Caenorhabditis elegans: one gene and its partners. The protein of the gene in region 3 purifies or fractionates together with the protein of the main gene of each other region. This does not show direct contact. Each region holds a gene or a part of one and is shown on either strand. Other genes may lie near its edges.

Evidence for each region.
Region 1: the proteins of cdo-1 (region 3) and K08D9.4 fractionate together in Caenorhabditis elegans (co-fractionation; one large-scale study listed by BioGRID). This does not show direct contact.
Region 2: the proteins of cdo-1 (region 3) and F58D5.9 fractionate together in Caenorhabditis elegans (co-fractionation; one large-scale study listed by BioGRID). This does not show direct contact.

Annotation. Positions count from the first base shown.
Region 1 is NC_003283.11:3,197,959-3,202,432, forward strand, and holds K08D9.4 (AB hydrolase-1 domain-containing protein), read right to left. Parts: upstream 2,466-4,474; 5' UTR 2,456-2,465; coding exon 2,336-2,455; intron 2,285-2,335; coding exon 2,131-2,284; intron 2,078-2,130; coding exon 1,796-2,077; intron 1,703-1,795; exon of another isoform or gene 1,682-1,702; intron 1,141-1,681; coding exon 923-1,140; intron 877-922; coding exon 715-876; 3' UTR 586-714; downstream 1-585. Other genes in the region: Y73C8B.5 (EF-hand domain-containing protein), read left to right, coding at 1-67, 115-375.
Region 2 is NC_003279.8:12,044,645-12,048,317, forward strand, and holds F58D5.9 (Cystatin domain-containing protein), read right to left. Parts: upstream 1,975-3,673; 5' UTR 1,950-1,974; coding exon 1,625-1,949; intron 1,381-1,624; coding exon 1,305-1,380; intron 1,254-1,304; coding exon 1,153-1,253; intron 753-1,152; coding exon 592-752; 3' UTR 557-591; downstream 1-556. Other genes in the region: ksr-2 (Kinase suppressor of Ras B), read right to left, coding at 3,241-3,532.
Region 3 is NC_003284.9:861,747-865,519, forward strand, and holds cdo-1 (Cysteine dioxygenase 1), read right to left. Parts: upstream 1,833-3,773; 5' UTR 1,829-1,832; coding exon 1,683-1,828; intron 1,461-1,682; exon of another isoform or gene 1,439-1,460; intron 1,367-1,438; coding exon 1,286-1,366; intron 1,235-1,285; coding exon 1,083-1,234; intron 978-1,082; coding exon 874-977; intron 827-873; coding exon 737-826; 3' UTR 686-736; coding exon of another isoform or gene 589-685; 3' UTR 521-588; downstream 1-520. Other genes in the region: F56F10.2 (F-box domain-containing protein), read left to right, coding at 240-389, 589-685; lgl-1 (Lethal giant larvae homologue 2 domain-containing protein), read right to left, coding at 3,331-3,468.

The DNA of each region.
Region 1 (4,474 bases), on a different chromosome or scaffold from region 3:
CTTCCTACTCATCATTCTCGCCTGGATTCCAAATTTTGGAAGTTCTCAGGATAATGAGGCTCTTGGAGTGAGTTTTTAATAATGTTCGAAACAATTTGTATAGATGCTTTACAGGAGCTAACAGGAGCTATGTTGTCGCTAAGAGGCTTGGCACAGAGTGAAGAGAATTTTAAAAAGGTGTTCCAAGAGTTTGACGAAGACGGAAATGGCTTCATCTCTGTTGCTGAACTGGAACCCCTCTTCAGCAACTTTCAAGCACGGCTGTCTGCCGAAGGGATTCGCAAAACTTTCCGTTACACCGATATCGACAGAAATGGTCAAGTTGATTTAGATGAGCTCATCGATGTAACCAGAGCTGTAAATCCTTCTCTTTAGAGAATCACCAACCTCAAATTTTCCAGTTTCCTCCTCTTATCCTCTCGTTTATAAGTATTATCTTCCCTAAAAAACTTTGAATAAATATTTCATCAACCTTCAATTGAAAAACTCTTTTTTTTGCCGATTAAAAACTTTGGTTCACCTAAAATTCGTTGTCTTTTGTAATTTTTGCTGACTTTTTCTGGGGCAGTATTTCAAAAGCTAAATATTTTTTGTAAGTTTATTATTGAATAAAATTACTATTACAGTTCTCAAATTATAGTCGTTGAAAATATTGTTCATGTTGCAGATTTCCCTTTTGTTTGTAAAGTTAAACAATTTGAAAATTTCAAAACATTAATTTAATAACATTGATCTAGCAGCATCTGCCAATAAATCCGCCCGCTTCTTATTTTGAAAATGATTATCCTTTGCAATAAATACAGATGTTCCTTTTTGATTTTTGAAACTTTCCATTATTTTCTGCTTTTCGGATTCTGTGATATTCGCTTTGAAATTCTGAAATTCCTTCCAATTTTTCAAGTTTTTCTATCACAAAACTTACAAAATGCGCGAGTCCCTGATACTTTTTGAGTGCTTCAAAAACAATTTCCTTTTCAATTAAATGATCACTTCCGCCAAAAGTGATCATAGTCTTTGTGGGCAGTTCATTTAATTTCAGAATGTATTCCAGTTGCTTTTCCAGGTCACAGTTCATAATTGCTCGAATAACCGCCACGGCTTCTTCACCATCATGAATTTTGAATCCAACCAATTTCATTACTGGAAATTGAAATAATTTATAAGATCTGAAGTATCCCTGAAAATTTCGAACATCCTTTAAAGGTGGAGTACCGAAATTTGAGACTTTGCTTATTTAGACCCAAAATGACCCAAAACCATCGACTTTCATAATGAGATGTTTTGAAAGTTTCTCAAAAACGGGTTTTTTCTAAAACATTGAGCCGACATAACTTTTATTTGAAAAATTTTCAGAACATCTCATTACGAAATTTGGTAGTTTTGGGTCATTTTGGATCTAAAAAAGTAAAGTCTCAGATTTCGGTACACCACTTTTAAAAACTTAGGTCTAACGAAAATACGTATTCCTAAACTGCCAAAACTACACTTTAAATAAGCCACTACCAATAATTTTGCTGCGTTTTGAACTAGAAAATTTCCGATCTCAAATTTTATTTTTACAGGACATTTTTCCAATTGTTCTGAAGCTCGTAAAATTGCTCTAGGGGTAGGCAACATCCAGAAAACTTTTCAGATTTTTGCTTTTTTTTTAATCAAAAACGCTCCCAAAATGAAAAAGTTTATGAAAAAATCCAACTTTCAAGCATTTTGACGAGCCTCAACAGTAGTAAAACACCACATTGAAACATTTTTTGGTAGTGGCCTATGGCATATTTCTCATTTTGCTTATACTCACAATTATACAAAATGGCATCTCCAATCTTTTTCGGCAATTTCTTATGTAAATAAATCAGCGACTCCAACTTTCCCTTCGGACGAGACCCTTTATTAATCCTCAACCCTGTTGGATTAGCCATCACTAGTCCATGAGGTTTCCGATTAGCTGCTGTTATCAGTGCATTCTCACATCCTCTGCTATGCCCCATTATGATCACTTTTCCCGGCACATCTAGCTCGTTTAACAGAGCTTCTGAGTAACTATTTCGTTCCCAGTTTCCGAAGTGTTGACCTGGGTACGCTGAAATTTATTTTTAATTATTTGATGGTTTTTTATTAATTAACTGAAACTACCTGGAGTTTGCTTGAATCCTGGGTAGTTAATACCAATAAATCTAATATTCATGTGCTCCAATCGCTGCCTGACATACTTGAAATCCCTGTGAGACCCTGGAGTTCCATGGAATCCAATCACAGTACCCAATGGGGAGCCAGATGATAATGAGTCCTGAAAAACTGACTTTTAAATTGAGAAATCAGTATTTCAGTGTCAACCTACCTCATAAACTGCATTTAAATCTACCAATCTTCTCCTTTTGGTTTGGAACTGCACCAACTTTGAATACAACTTCGGCTCGGTGGCGGGTAGCGTGGAAAATGCTCCTTTTGACATAATCATTATTGATTTTCTTGAAAGAATTTGTATCATAAATCACCAATTTGAAACATTTTTATTCACGAGATATTATCAAATTTAATCAAATTTGTGTTTAGAAAAAAAAATCTGACCTTCTCCATTTTTGTACTAGAAACGTAAAAAATACAACGATTGCTGGAAAATCAAAAAGACAAAATATAAAGCACAACATGAAGCTGGCATGTAAAAAAAGAAAGAAGATATGACGTCAACTGCGTACCCAAACGAAAAAGAGGAGAGAAGCGCGGGTCAGCTGTGTAGTTGGAGTGTGGCCGGTGTGCCCATCGGGTACTCTGGACCCTACTGGAATAAAATTTTAGCTTTACTATTAGATGAGTTTTTTTTTACATTTGATAAAAAAACAAGCTTTTTGGACAATTTTTTCTGGCCAAAAGAAAATCAAAAAATAACCGTCTAACAATTGACATTGAGTTGCAACTGTGTGAAGACGTGAAAATTTGAGAAAAAAAAATTCGCATTCAGAAAAATGCAAAAATTACACTGTAAACTGAAAAAAGCTCTAAAATATGAGTTCAACAAAATTATACGTTTGGCCAACTGCGAAGATTTGCAATTTGGTCGCCTGATGCCGAAAACTTGCCGAAAATTTGCCCATCGATAGCTGAGTTTTTAAACCAGTCAATTGAAGTATATCAGGAAAAGCGAACTCACAAGATGTCGGTCGCTGCAGTTTTTGACATTTCTGGTATTTTTGGGTGTTGTTTTTTTGTCAAAAATAGGGGACTTTTCAGATATGTATGTTATATCACATGTTATGTATGTTATGTATGTTATATTAGCCGATATGGAACCAAAAATTATCGAAATTGGTTACCTATCGGCTTTAAATATACCTTATATCAACGAAAGTAAATGAGATAAACTACCAATATATGTAATAAAGGACGATAATTCCAAAAAAGTCAACTTCGGACATGAATCTTATTTCGCAATGAATCTTGCGCAATGAATCTTATTTTGGCACCTCATGTCCTATGCATGTTTAATACTTTTACCCATTATTCATCTCCCTGACACCCGCACATTCATGTACCAACTAATCAACTTTTCAGATGATAATTCATTTTCTGTATGTTTATTAGTTTTCTGTATGTTTATTATCGTATGTTTATTACGTTTATTATCATGATTTCAATCGTAATAAATTCAATTCAATTCAATATGTAAAAGCGAGAATACAATTTATTGTAAAATTACATTTTTTGACAGCCTTTATTTCCGAATTTTCAAAAAATACAAAAAAAATTCAGAAAGAGGAAGGAAAAAATTCAAGCAACTACATGAATTTCCTAAAATTGAAAAAAAAAATCGTAGTAAAATTTTTCAAAAATTAAAAAAAAACAACTTTTAAAAATTTCAACGAGCGGATTCAATGGTGTTTCAAATATTTTTTAATTATTGGTGAGGGTTTAAACCAGCGATTCTCGAATTTTTTTCACCAAAAATTTGACTGAAAATGTTGAAAAATGTTAAAATTTTGAAGTGTTTCATTAAAATACTGAACCGGCAATAGGTGGGCGGCAATTGCCATTTGGCAATTTTGGCAAATTTTGTCGACAAACTCGGCAAATCGGCAAACTGCCGGTTTTCCTGATATTTTCAATTCCGGCAACTTGCCGGTTTGTCGATTTGCCGGATATTTTCAATTCAGGCTATTTGCCGATTTGCCGTTTGCCGAACACCAATTTGCGGGAAGTGTTTAGAGGGAATTATTTATGAAACCGAAACACTTAAATTTGCGCCTTTTTGAAATTTTTTTCCCCGTTGTCTTCAGATAATTTCATAGAATTTGTGTACTTTTCGAAACAGATGTAGGAACATTCATAGAATGCGTACAATTTTGCCGATTAAAATTGAAATTCTGAAATTTCCAAAAAAAAAACTGTACAAAACGACAATTTGGGTGATTTGCCGGTTTGCCGATTTGCCGGAAATTTCATTGCGGTATATTGCCGGCAGCTTCGATTCCGGCAATTTGCC
Region 2 (3,673 bases), on a different chromosome or scaffold from region 3:
GGTCACACTATCCTACAGTAACCAAGCCTACAGTCTACAGTAATCCTATATATCTATCAATATCTTATAATCTTTTAATATATATAATCCACACAGTTTAGCTGCTACAGTAATCCCGGCTAAATTTGTTCTCTAGTCTATTGGTTTTTTTTGAAAATTTTAAATTTTCCCCCTCACCCACCCACCCATTCATTTAAATCTCTCAGAAGCCTTAATTTTTAAATTTTCGCGCGAGTCGAACCTCGATCTCCCAGGTTTTCGCATTCCTTCCCACTTTTTTTTCCATCTTTTTTCCTGTTTCTTGGCTATTTTTTGGGAAAAGTATCAAATTTCTCTCGCGAAATTTGCGATTTCCCGAAAATTTGCCAACTTTCCACTGAGATTTTGGCGTTTTTTGCGCATTTCCACCTCTACCATCTGTACGGATTGCGATTTTTTTCACTGAAATCGAATAGATCACTATCAAGACAAAATTTCCAGGCTTTCAGGCTCTCATTAGGCTTGTCTGGACTATTTTTCTTGAAAAGAAGAAGAAGTAATAAATACGTTGTGATCTAAAAAAATATTGTGTTTTTTTTCAAAAATTCAGAATTACATAAAAGCATAAAATGAGATTCCAGTGTACATTAATCGAATGGAATTTGAAATTGGAAGAGAAAAAGTTTGAGATTTATCGGCCACTTTGGATTTGTCGGCTTTCCGTTTGGATTGGGGGCGAAGACGGGCGAGAAGGCGGATTCGAGGGCGATATTCTGGAAAATTTGAATTTTTTTCCCGTTTTTTGGGAATTTTTAGCCCAAATCGCTGGAAAATAGGCCAAAATCGATAGAATTTTTTGCAAAAAACTGGCGAAGTTGAATAAAAAAATAATTTTTTTTACAATTTTTAATGAATTTTTCCCATTTTTTCGCAAATTTTCGTCGTTTTTTGAGAATTTTCCGTTTAAATCGGTGGAAAATAAGCTAAATCGACAAAAATTTTCAGAAATATGTGGAAATTGGATTAAAAAACCATTTTCAGCGAATATTACGTAAATTTTGGTCGATTTTGGTGCATTTTTTGCCGATTTTGACTGGAGAAGTCATATTTTATGGTTTTTTTTTTCGTCGATTTTGGCCCATTTTCAGAAGATTTTTTTTTTGGCCAACTCACTGCAGGAGCTCATCATTGTATCCAATTTTTCCGTAATTTCCATCGTTCGAACCTTCTCCAGAATCGCTGAGAGCCTGGCGTAGATATTTGGACTTCTACGGCTGAAAATTATAAAATTTTAGTGAAAAATCATCAAATTCTGTAAGATTTACCCATCAGGGCGCCTCAATCGGCTGATAGTGACACGAAATCCGACGAGTTGAGTTTCCGACGGTGTTACCATGCATACTGGAAGAATTTCAAGTTATTTTTAATCAAAAATCATCTGAAATTAGCTAAAAAATTCAAGAATTTCGAAAAAAATGCAGAAAAAAAGATTTGCGCGTCAATTAAAATGCACTCAGTGCAAACACCGCAAGTGTACGCAGTGCATTGTATTTGACGCGCAAGTTTTATTTCTGGGTTTTAAAGCATTTCTACAGCAAAAAATACAATAAAATCAATTAAAAATCTAGATTTTAGGCCCAAAAACCTTCAAAAGCCAATAATCGTCCTGCCGCAATATATTGCTCCGCGAGCTGACAATTTTCTTCAACGTGTCGCTGAAATCGTGCATCCGGGCATTTCGAATGCTCATAATCCTGTCCAAACTTCATTTTCGGCCAATCCGCCGTGCTCGGCGAGCATCTTTCCATTGCCACGTAGCAAAATGACGTCAGAAAGTCGCAGAAAATGGCGGTATCCCGAAGATTGCCACCAACACGTCGGCGATGCTTCTTGCCGAGAATTACGTGGTGGGGAGGTTTAATGATGACGGCTTTGGCCGTTGTGATGTTAGTTGCTCGAAGAGATTTCATTTTTAGGGTCTTCCTGGGGAATCTGAAAAAAAAATTACCAAGACGTTTTTATCCTGAATTTTGCGATTTTTAAAAAAATTTTACAGAGAAAAATTCAAAAAAAAACCGCGCCGCGCTTGCTTATTCTAAGGCCCAGACGCCAAATTTTGTGATTTTCGCGCCAAAACTACGGTACCAGGTCTCGCCACGCCTTTTTTGAACTGCGAGCAGGTGTGCGCCTTTAAAGATTACTGTAGGAATTTTTTCAATCAAAAACTATGAAAAATCGGTTAAAATTCCACAGCAACCAAAGTTCGAAGTTACAGTAATTTAAAGGCGCACACCTGCCCAAAATGCTTTTTTCACGATTTTTCTCCAAAGTTGTAAATTTTAGAGAAAAAATCGTGTTGAAAACTCAATTTTTATGCAAAAGTCGGTAATTAGGCCATTTGGACTCGGCTACGGCCGGGGTAGATTTACGGAGCGGCGCGTGTCGCGTCGCGGCTAGTTTTTCATTGTAAAACTGAATAAAATGGTTTGTTTAACGGTTTTTAACGAAAATTTACAAAATTAGGTTTAATTTAACCTAATTTTGCAAATTTCAAAGGGAAATATTAAATTTTTCAAGTTTTTGAGAGAAAAATCGTAAAAATGCCCAATTTCAGCCAAAATTCGCGCGAAAATCCTGAAATTCAATCAATTTTCAGCGAATAAAATTACATGAAATATGTAAAAAACTCCTGGATAATCCCCAAAAAATTCCAACTAAAAAGTCGATATTTTCATTTGAAAATTGAAAATTTGTCGAAAAACTATATATAACTATATATCAGGGGAGGAAGGCGGGAACAAAAAAATTTCAAGGCAGCACAGAAATGGTAGAAAAAAAGAAAATATAATTTAATATAAATAAATCATTGGATAAAATTGGAATTAATATAGTAGGAATCCGGTTGTGGTATATAAAACTCGTTTTTTGCTTCTTTTCAGGGGGGAAAAAGGATGGCACAGGAAGGGAAACGGCGGGAAATTAAACTTAAATTAAAAAATTTTTTTGGCGGGATTAATTTGGGAAATTTGGAGGAAAATAGGAAAACGCGGATAAAAATGATGGAAAAATGGGATTTTTTTTCTTTTTCTGATAAAACTATGATATGATTATGAAACAAGATCAATGGCAGGGGCAGGGATGAATATAGGATAAATATTTGTATATATATATAGGTATTTAAATGGATAAAATGTCTAATTTCTTCTTCTTTTCTCTTCTCTCTCTCTCTCTCTGTACATAAAAAATCGATAATTCTACACACTAAAACAGTGGATTCTCGTGTGCCGTGCTGCGTCTCTTCTGCTTATTCGACTCTTTTCTCGGCATTTGAACTGTAATTCGCTTCACAATTTGTTGGAAACTCGGCCGCTTCTCCGGTTGGCTCGACCAGCATTCCAGCAGCAGTTCGTGCAATTTTCCGTCGATTTTTTGCAGCTGGGCGTCGAGCCGTTGAAGTGCCGCTTTTTGGCCGCACATTTTCGCGTAGAGCTTCTGATCCCAAGAGTCACAGCCCGTTGGCATACGGCGGAGCAGGAGTTCGAAGAAAATTGTACTGAAAATTGGGAAAATTTTCAAATTATTGATTTTTAAAACTTTAAATATAAAAAATGATAGTTTTTTGACTAGTTTTGAAAAAAAATTAATTTTTATTAAATTTTTCCCAATATGTCGATTTACGCAGCATTTTTCAGTG
Region 3 (3,773 bases):
ATCACCTTTGAAAAATAAACTTGAGGACAAAGTCTCATAAATAACTAAAATTGTTTTTTGGTAATGCGGTATTTAAAACAATTATTGTGCTAGCCAACAACTTGTAATGTCCTGATAAAGAAAATTAGCGCACCGATCAAACTTTGTAATGCACTGAAAACTTTGACCCTGACCAGATTTTTCCACAAAATTCAATATACCAGATTTTTTACGAGATATCAAAATTTATAACTTTGCAGCGCAATTCTAAATGGATCTCCAGTGGAAACCATTGATCTAGGCACATGCTTCCTATCAAGTGAAGCTGTATCCCAAATTGTGCAAAGCTGGGAGCAAACTTCAACCAGCGACTTGACCATCATGTTGAGTCATTGTTATCCGGTCAACAAGTGAGTAAACACTCCATTTTTTTCGGTTTTAATTGTTCTAATGAGTACTTTTCACTTTGCAAGAAGTGTCTTTTGTTTCAATTTTCTTTGAGACTTCCTTGTTTTACGCGGTTTGAAAAAGTTTAAAAAAATACCACCGAAATAATTCATTGCAACAAAATCACACAATTTTTCAAGATCACAGTTATATTTTTTGCAGACCGGATGTGATCCGACTTCTACAGGATCGTAATATCACACTGAAGAAAAATCAACAATTACATTCCAAGAACCATATGCTGACACTTGTCTGTTAATGAAGATTATAATAAAGAATCAACACGTTATTACATTGAGGGATATGTTGTTTAATTGCCATTCTTAGATCCTCTGTAGTCAACTTTCTTGCCGTACTTTGAGTAGAATGTGACGGTGCATTGCGTTTTCTTTCCGGTTCTCTGAAATATATTCAAAAAATATTAAAAGCCTTCGCCGATTGACTAACCTCATCGAATGCATTGCAAGTACTATATGGAGGGATGTACAAGTGAAGAGAGACAGCTCCGTTTGAGTGACTCAAATTTTCCATTCTATGAAGACCAAGCTCATCTGAAAAATTGCAATGAAGTTGTTATTATGTTCCTAGCATTGTTTTCAAGTTTAGGCAACCATGTTGTAAAAGACAGATGCATTAAGTGTTTTCAAATATCTTACCATTCATATAGGAAACTCCATTCATTCCATAAGTCTTATTTTCTGAAATATCAAGTGGCACGTGTCGTTTTCTTGGCCAGGCATATTTGGTCTCAGTGAGCTCTCCATCAAGAATTTTCACAAAGCAATGAGCATCAGTATGATCGTGAACACTAAATTTCGTAAAATGAATGTTATATGATGATAAATCTCAGTTAACGTACCTGCTAGCCATACCGGGGCCCCAACACAAAATCATCAAGTTGTACTTTCCATTTCCAACATCCACTAGGTTTCTTGTGTATCTGTAAAAAAATAGTAAATTTTCGTGAAAAGACTTTTACCAAACTGACTTGAATTTATACTGTTCTAGTTCTATTTTCACCATCCTCTGCTAAATAATTGTTCGAAAAATGTTTTCTAATTTTATGAATTTGGTAAAAATGTTAAGATTTTCAATATTTCTTTTAACAGAACCAAACACCAATATAATACATCACGATCATTCATAATTTCCGAAGAATTCTAAAAATTACGCAGATCTTAAAAGTAGATTAGTCTGTAATCTCATCTTCCCCCAAAAATGCATTTCAATTTTTTCTGGAACAAACCAGCACTCACTTGTTCATATCGAAAATGGCAAATCTTCGCCACTCATTTGCGTTGCTTTTGTATGAAGCCATCAGCTTCATCACTTCGTCAACATCTATCAATTTCTGTTGGAAGATTTCACGAATTTGAACAACTAACTGAACAAATGATATCATTTTTCTGAAAACAGGAATGTTGTCATATTGAATAGTAAATAAAAAAAAAGTTGAAAATAAAATAAATAAACTCCTAAAGAAAATTTACTAACTGAAAAAAAGTAATGAAATAATACGAATCATAATTTCTTAGACGTCTCCAATAGGAATAAACAACTTCTAGTAAACCACCAAAAGCTTGGGGAACAATAATCCTATCAATGTTTCGAATGTTCAGAATAATCGGAAAAAATTGATATGATAGTTACCAAATTTGCAGAACACGGTTTTTTAGGCTCACATGCATAATGATACTCGTTTTGTGAACTGACCAAAAATAGATATTCACTGACCAAAAATAGACATGCACTGACCAAAAATAGATATGCACTGACCAAAAATAGATATGCACTGACCAAAAATGGATATGCACTGACCAAGAAACGTTAAGGACTAACCATCATAAAAATCACTAGGAATCCTGTTAGATAATAAATATAACTGTACACAATACACTTAGACTGACAAGCTCAAAATCTAAAAAACTTTATAATAAAATGTTATCAGTTACAATTACAGTAGTCACACATACAAGTAACGGCGAAATGCGAAGGGGAACACAACGTGACAAAACCAGTCATTTACAATAAGAAATCGCTAATCGACCATCGTTAACAGTTAAGGGAGAAGGAGATACTTTGTGAAAGAAAATATGAAAACGACGACAGATTGAATTAATAGTGACACTTAATGAGTGGAAACAAGAGAAAAAAGATAGAATCGGAAAAAGATCGGCAAAGCATTGCGAAAAATAAACTGTATGTCTATGTCTGCCACGTGAGATTCTGGTTTTTTCTTCTTTTGGAAATAATTTTTTGTTTGTTAGGTTGAACATTTAAACTTTTAGAAGTTCGAAATCCAACTGATCAGATTCAGTATTTATTAGGTGATTAGTGTTATCACAAGTTACCGTTACAAAGGGGCGTGGTTTGGAAATGACGTCATCTGATGTGAAACTGATGGCGTTAGTCGACTAATATCTTATCTTATCAGACAAAACCTTTGCAATTGTCACGTAAGCAAGGCATTTTTGTAGTTTACAGTAATATCGGGACTTCCCGTTCTTGAAGTTTTGAAAATTGGAGATCGATCTGGAAGGGAGTTATGTACAGGCATCTAGTAATTTTGAAGAGGCAACTATTGACAATCTTTAAAGTTTTATTTTTAAAAATTAGATTTGATAGGTATTAAAGAAACACTCTCCTAGAAATTATAGATTCTTCAATTTTTCCAAACGTACAAAAAATACGAATTTTTCCATTTTCTCTAATCGCCTGCAATAGTGTAGCATGTTTCAAAAATTAAAAATCGTTTAAAATTAGTTTTTCATACGCAACGTATATATTGACAAAAAAGGCAAAGACCGAGGGCAAATAAATAACATAATAAAGTTTAAAAAAAACCACCATTTCAAACAAAATTAATATATATCAACAGGAAAACGATTTTTAAAAAAAATGCATCTATGACTTGTGCGTACTGCTCCAACCGCGAAAGTTCAAATTCACCGTACTTCGCTGTAGTTCGGAGGATTTGATGAGGAATGCCACGTCACCATCACGTGATAAACAACTCGAGTTTAGTGCCATTACGTCGATTGGCTGAAAAATTCTAGTTTAGAACGGAGAAAAGCAAAATTAGACATTGTGCAGGAAACTTAACCACTTCTCAGCGCCACCTATGCGTTGACCTTTCAGAATTTTCAGAAGGCAACACGTGCACACTTGGCGCGTGCTAGCGGCTGGCTTAAAAAACAACCAAAAACAAAAAAGAAATCCGTCGAACCGGATTCGAACCAGTGACCTAAGGATACCTGCTGACTCTACAGTCCTCCGCTCTACCAACTGAGCTATCGACGGCACGGAGGTGGACGGAAAAATGTGTCAATAAAAATGTTTGTTGCTTG